Caenorhabditis elegans: one gene and its partner. The protein of the gene in region 2 purifies or fractionates together with the protein of the main gene of each other region. This does not show direct contact. Each region holds a gene or a part of one and is shown on either strand. Other genes may lie near its edges.

Region 1 (3,757 bases), on a different chromosome or scaffold from region 2:
AAGTTCCTTGGGAAGAGCAACAGTTGATGAAGAAAGTGAAGCGTCTGCAATCGGAGAACGAAAAGTTGAAGGTGCAGCTGGATGATATGGTGGATTGTTTTGTGGAAACGAAGGAGGCTCTTGAGAAGGAAAAACGTGTGACGGACTTCCTGAAAAAGGCGATTTCCGATCTCAAAACTCTTCCGATTGAATGTGAGATTTGTGCAGTACAATATGGGGATTCTGGAATGACCGTGCCTCGTGTTCTGCGTAAGTCTGCCAATGCAACTCATAAAATAATGATATTATTCTTATCATATTCAGCGTGTGGCCACACAATTTGCACCGAATGCGCTGGAAATATTATCCAAAACAAGATGATCCGTTGTCCATTCGATAGAAAAGTGTACAAGTTCAATAACAAGACGATCGAGAATCTGCCCAAGAATTTTTCTCTCATAAATCAGTAGAAATTCGAATAAATGATTTGAAAAATACTGTGTAGATTGATTCTGATTCTGAGATTCTTAAGGTCTTCGCGCAAAACTACAGTAACCGGTATCACAATAATTTCAAGTTCAGCCTGCGTAAAAACATGCGTGACAATTAAATTAGTACAGTAATCACGGGGTTCTGGCCTTTATCATTGAATTTTCGCGCTCCATTGACAATCGCCTGCCGGACAACGTGTGGAAAAGTGCCGTGTACTCCACACGGGCAAATACATCAATTTTACAACTAAAAACGAGCCGCGACGCGACACGCAACGCGCCGTAAATCTACATAAAATCTCTTCGACCCAAAATGGCCTAGTTCGGCAAACTCTGCCATTTCGATTTATGAGGGAAGCCAGAATTCCGTGATAATAATTTACCATATTGTTTCAAATTTTTTCTATTACGGGAACACAAAATTCTGAGAATGCGCATTGCGCAACATATCTCTTAGCGAAAACTACAGTAATTCTTTAAATGACTACTGCTGCCATTGTGTCGATTTACGGACTTGATTTTCGAAATGAATTTCTTTAAGACATCGATATTCCATTCTCATCTGTTTCCTCGTAATATTTGCTAGTTTTTTCTCAAATTTATTATTCAATCGATAAATAAATAATTTAAATTCATTTTGTAAAAAGAGCTCGTAAATCGACACAAGCCCTACAGTAGTCATGTCATTTACACGTGGTGTGAGAGTGTCCCATTTCGGTTTGATCTACGTAGATCTCGAAAATTTCGAGAATTTAGATGCAGACTTCTCAACTAGTGGTTAAGAACGTGCTGACGTCACATTTTTTGGGGTAAAAAATTCCCACTTTTCTTGTAGATCAAACAGTTATGAGACAGCCTGACACCACGTGCATTTGAAGAATTACTGTAGTTTTCGTTATGAGATATTTTGCGCGTCAAATATGTTGTACAATACGCATTCTCGGAATTTTGTGTTCCAGTAATATACTCAAGCATTTAGTATTAAAAAGTGCTGGAGAAATCGGTTGCTGCACTTCTTAAAGGCGCACACTGTTTTGCTCGGTCTCTACCTCTAATGCATCAAATTTCACGCGCAAATTCAAAAACTTGCCTCAGTGTGCTCTCCAAACTGCTTCATCATTTCTCCAGACAAACAATTATTCTTTTCCGGGCGGTCCAGAATTACGTCAAGTCTTGTTTTCAGCTTCTCGTTTCGCTGAACTCGAATCGCACCGCCTTGCCATGATTTAAAGACTTCCAGCAGTGCTGCGGATGGTCTAACCTGAAAAAATTCAATTCTAAAGGCACATAGTCGTGAATCACGCAATATTCAAATTTCGAAGAACATACCACTTTTCCAGACATTTTTGTCGCTCAGTTGCCCTGAAAAATTAGAAAAATCTTTTTATTTTTAGGTTATAAGCGGTTAGTGAGAAGAATAAGAATATATTTTCCCTATTTTTGAGTCACAAGTCGAAGCCCCGCCACCAAACGCAGGGTCTCATTAGGTATTGGCGGAAAAACAAGAAATTCAATAGTTTTCTTGACAGTTTTAGAATCCAAAAAACCGGTGCAAAATTTCATTTTCCTACAATTTTTGTACAAAAAACCGTACAACAAAGACCCCGCCCCTAAAATAGGCGGGGCTATGAACCATTTTGTGGGCGTGTCTGGCGGTAGATTTTACAACAAAAAAGTATGACGTGAATCGAGGAATCTACGAATATTTATTGCATCAATTGAAAAATCAATCTATCATCGCTTCTTGGCAATAGAGATAAAGTTGCAAAATTTCAAAATCTAAAAAAAGGAAGGATGGAAAATAATTTAATTTATTGCTATGAAACACGAGCGCTTAAAATGGGAGAGCCGGGGGGGGGAGGGGGAGTCAATAAATAAATATATAAAATTCAAATAATTAAATAGGACACAGAAGCGTGCGTTTTGCAAAATAAATTTTTGGGTGGAAAGAATGAAACAAAAAATGCCGCTAGAGACTGGAAGACGCAGAGATAGAGATAGGGGGAAAACATCACTGATCTGACGAAAATTTGGCCGAATCTGAAGAATTTTGGGGGGTACATTGTATCTAGAGAGCATGAAAAATTATGACAATTCGACCGAAGAAAAAGGCAATTTACTGGAATATATATTCTAATCAAGGGTGACGTCGAAAAATTCTGATTTTTCGGTATTTTGGGGTAATTGAAAAATCGAGAAAAAAAATCGATTTTTCCGAATTTTTCAATGCAAAAAAACGACACATTTGATTGCAATATACTTTGACTATTCAAAAATTTTGAAAAAAAAAGGTTAAAAAGGAATACTAAGTGATTTCAAATTGGAGTGGCACCTGGATTTCGCTATTTGATTAGTTTTGCACAATCTACTGGAAATTCTAAAATTGGAGAATCTTGGGGGATATCAAGAAATAGAAATAGGCTATCATTTTGTTTTTACATTAAAAAAAAATAAATCAGGGAATGTTACGAGAGAGATAGAGAGAAATAGACGACTAGACTATAATCCAAATGGATCGGCTGAGGCGGCCTGGGCCTGTTGAGCTTGTGCAGCGTTCTTTGCAGCCATCGCTGCATGAACCAATTGAATTTGGTGTTGCTGTTGTGGTGGAACAGGTTGTCCGTATCCATATTGTTGACCGTATGCTGCTGCAAAAAAAATAAGATTTTGAAAATCTACCGAAATATAGTGCCAGACACGCCCACAAAATGGTTGAATTCCTATTCTAGGCGTGGGGCTTTTTTGTTTTTGTTTGGTATTATTTAGACCAAAAAATAAACCAAAAACTGCTCACTTTCTCGCGGTTTTTTAATAAATTTAAGTATAAATTTTTTTTGTTGGTTTTTTGGCCCGAAATCCAACCCAAAAATGTTTTGCTATTTTTTGTCCAAAATTATTTTTCCGCTTATCCAAAAATTGCTGGAATATGAAATGTTCCACCGATTTTTCGATTTTAAATAAAACTGAATTTTTTCCAGAGGTTTAAATTTTATATTTTAGTATAAAATAGGTGTATGAGCATATTTCGAAAATGAAGCAAAAATTAACAAAAAATGCTTCAAAATCGATTTTCACATTTAAAATAATCTTGAAATATTGTGAAAAATTAGATAAAAATTCAATTGTTCCGAGATTCTAATTTTAAAAAAATTCCTCGTTTTTTCGATAAACTAACCCATCGCAGGATTCCACATTGGCTGAGCACCAAATGGTTGTTGATACATTCCCATTGGAGCCGTATACATTGGCTGAGGAGCCGACGTTGCTCCAAACGGATTGTTTGAGAC
Region 2 (3,297 bases):
AGTAACTTACTTATTTATTTTCTTGCCTTTTTGAGAAAAAAATTGTCATGCATAACACAAATCGTTGGAGGGAAGTGAAATGGTGCATGATCCTGGCTTAGGAAGTTGCAGAATATCCAGGCCTCTGAAATTGTACCAGCTCTTTTTGAAATTTTGAAACAGATTTATGATCGGTTAATCTGTTCAAATAGGTTCAACAAAAATGGCTACATTGTATAAAAGGAATTTAATAGAAGCAGTTGTGCAAAGCTACCCGGATTACTATAAAATAAGAAGCCAAATCACAGAAGCTTTACTTTTCGGCTCTCGTCTTAGTCACTCGGAGAAGCTCAACTAAGCCTGTAGAACAATGATTGCTCTGGTTTCGTTCATTCTTGCATTCCTGGCTCCACAGGCTAGCGCTGTTATCGGAGGAGATCTTAACTGCACAACCTACAATGGAACTGCTGTAAGTTACGCTGATCTCTTACTTTAGTGTTAATTGTATTCCATGATTTTCAGTTTGTCTGGACTACAGCCGCCACTGCATGCAGCAATGTGATCTCCGATTCATCCTGCGCAGTTTTGTACCCAAACCCAGTTCCAGCTGATGGATACCCATCACCAGGCAGGGACCAGCAGAGACCATTGGCTTGTTATACTACTGCTACGGCTACTCCAGCTGCTGTAGTTCAAGACATGAAGACTGCAGCTCAGAGCACATGCCCAAGAACTTGCGGATTATGTTGTCAAACTAGTGCTTACAGTTGCCCAAATGTTGCCTGTGAGTTGAAAAGACATTCTAACAAATTGAGGTATTTTTCTGGCGCAAATATTCGCCTAGAAACATCAAGATTGGTGTGGAAATAGTTCAGTATGTCGTGGTGGCCGATAGCAGTCATAAAATCAGAAGTTCAAGTCCATTCTCCCCTTATAGGTTCACCCATGCTCAATTGAGATGTGGATCAATCTGGAATATCAGCCCAGTGAAAGCTCCAACAGCATGGCGCTCAAGGAACTGATATTCCTCTAAACCAGATCTGACCGCTCTAGTAAATAATGTTAAACAACTTCAAACGACAGTTGAGCCTAGATGCTACCCATTCTTTTGAACCTCTGTAGTGATTAAGTGTCATGTAATAGAAATTTGGCTTATAATGCTGAGGAGACATGAGCGGCCCATATTTTACTGTATCGCGTAATCTTCAGACCCCCGTCTCAACTGTGCCTCGATCACCGCCTCTCAATGCATCTCCCCAGCCTGGAGAACAATCATAGCCACGGACTGCCCATCTGCCTGCGGATTCTGCAACCAAGGAGGATGTGTGGATGCCGTTCCTGACTGCTCCAATGACATCACCATTTGCAATGCCATCGGCCTTCAGACTTTCGTGAACGCCAACTGTCAGAGAACTTGCAATAGATGTGCCTCGTCAACAACTACTCTTTCTTCATCTTCCTTGACCTGCTCCTCATACATCGCCGACTCGAGCACTGCATGCAGAGCCTGGTCTCTGAACGGATTCTGCACCAACACCTTCTACACCCTCGCGCAAAGAAGATCATACTGCGCCTCCACTTGCAGAATCTGCTAGTCTCATTCTCTTCAAGACATAACACAACGGGCTGACGACCATATCATCAACGACGATTTTTTAGGAACTGTACTTTATCTGTGTCTGACCAACACGTGTGAATGAAGTTTCAACTGGAAAATTTGTTTGAAACACTGCAAAGAATTTCGAATTTTGATGATAATTTTAAATGCCATTATCAGTTTTAATACGCCACTCTAGTCTTTGATTCTTTGCACACACACACACACACACACACACACACACACACTCACAAACACGCCTGAAATTTCGCAATATGCTGATTTAACGAGAAAACATTTGATGACAATAAACTTGGCGTATTAATATAAAAGGGAAAATTCAATTCAGATTCTCAACGGTTTATTTTCTGTCACAACTCTTCCTAATATTCACCATGGTTTCCTACAAGCTTACCTACTTCGATGGACGCGGAGCCGGAGAGCTCTGCCGTCAAATCTTTGCTGCCGCCGAGCAGAAATATGAAGATAACAGACTTACCGATGAGGAGTGGGAGAAGTTCAAAGCGGCCGGAAGTGAGTTTCCTTTTCTTCTTAATATTATGTGCAAAATATTAATTGTGTGGTTTCCAGAAACCCCATACAACCAGCTTCCAATGCTCGAGGTAGATGGCAAACCACTCGCTCAGTCCCACGCGATGGCTCGTTATCTTGCTCGGGAATTCGGGTTCAACGGAAAGAGCAGATGGGAAGAAGCTCAAGTCAACTCCTTGGCCGACCAGTACAAAGACTATTACGCGGAGGCTCGTCCATACCTCGCTGTGAAGCTTGGTTACACAGAAGGAGACGCGGAGGCTCTTTACACAAGCGTCTATCTTCCAGTTTTCAAGAAACACTATGGATTCTTTGTCAATGCTTTGAAGGCCAGCGGGTCAGGATTCTTGGTTGGAAATTCCTTGACTTTTATTGATTTGCTTGTTGCTCAGCATTCAGCTGATTTGCTGGGACGTGAAAAGTCGGATCTTTTCAATGATGTCCCAGAGATGAAGGCACATTCCGAAAAAGTTCAGTCAATTCCTCAGATCAAGAAATGGATTGAGACTCGTCCAGCGAGTGACTGGTAATTGTTTGGTCACTTAAATAAACTTTGTTATTTCCAATTTATTTTATTTGGGGAAAACTGATTGTGAGAATAAATTTTATTTAATAAAACTGTGCAACATGGAAAAAGTTAACAGATTTTGCAAGTAGTCGCACAGGCAGCTCTTTTTTCTGCCGTGGTGTATTGGTTGCTTGTACAGAATCCACTTCGAGCATACTCGCCGCATCTTGTTCGGCCGTCGGGAATGTAGGAAGTGCAGGCGGCTGCTGTGGTTGTGGCTGCTGCTGCTGCGACGGTAGTAGTGGTAACTGCAGCAGTAGTGGTCACGGCAGCGGGGGCCGCAGTAGTTGTAACAACAGCGGGAGCCACGGTAGTTGTAGGTGCCGCCGGAGCCGCGGTAGATGTTGTCGCAGTGGGACCCGACGTACATCTTTTACACGTCTTTCTGCAATTGGCATTGACAAAGTCTTGCAATTTGACTGCATTACAGATTTCTATGTTGTTGGCACATCCTTCAATTGCATCGACACATGAATCTGCACTGCACAATCCACACGTAGCTGGACATTCCATAGCTATAATTGCCTTCCATGCTGGATCAGTGCATTGGATAGGTTTGATTGTAGAACAATTGACACTTGGCACTGAAATATAGGAAGTA

The links. Proteins that work in one complex are often made in the same cells at the same time.
Region 1: the proteins of gst-38 (region 2) and C32E8.9 fractionate together in Caenorhabditis elegans (co-fractionation; one large-scale study listed by BioGRID). This does not show direct contact.

The regions. Positions count from the first base shown.
Region 1 is NC_003279.8:3,796,236-3,799,992, forward strand, and holds the start of C32E8.9 (Ethylmalonyl-CoA decarboxylase), read right to left. Parts: upstream 1,834-3,757; 5' UTR 1,815-1,833; coding exon 1,800-1,814; intron 1,732-1,799; coding exon 1,561-1,731; intron 480-1,560; exon of another isoform or gene 450-479; coding exon of another isoform or gene 304-449; intron 250-303; coding exon of another isoform or gene 1-249. Other genes in the region: C32E8.1 (RING-type domain-containing protein), read left to right, coding at 1-249, 304-449; Phosphatidylinositol-binding clathrin assembly protein unc-11, read right to left, coding at 2,970-3,118, 3,646-3,757.
Region 2 is NC_003283.11:15,914,611-15,917,907, reverse strand, and holds gst-38 (glutathione transferase), read left to right. Parts: upstream 1-1,837; 5' UTR 1,838-1,971; coding exon 1,972-2,110; intron 2,111-2,167; coding exon 2,168-2,658; 3' UTR 2,659-2,746; downstream 2,747-3,297. Other genes in the region: F35E8.9 (ShKT domain-containing protein), read left to right, coding at 350-448, 502-763, 1,189-1,574; F35E8.7 (ShKT domain-containing protein), read right to left, coding at 2,766-3,280.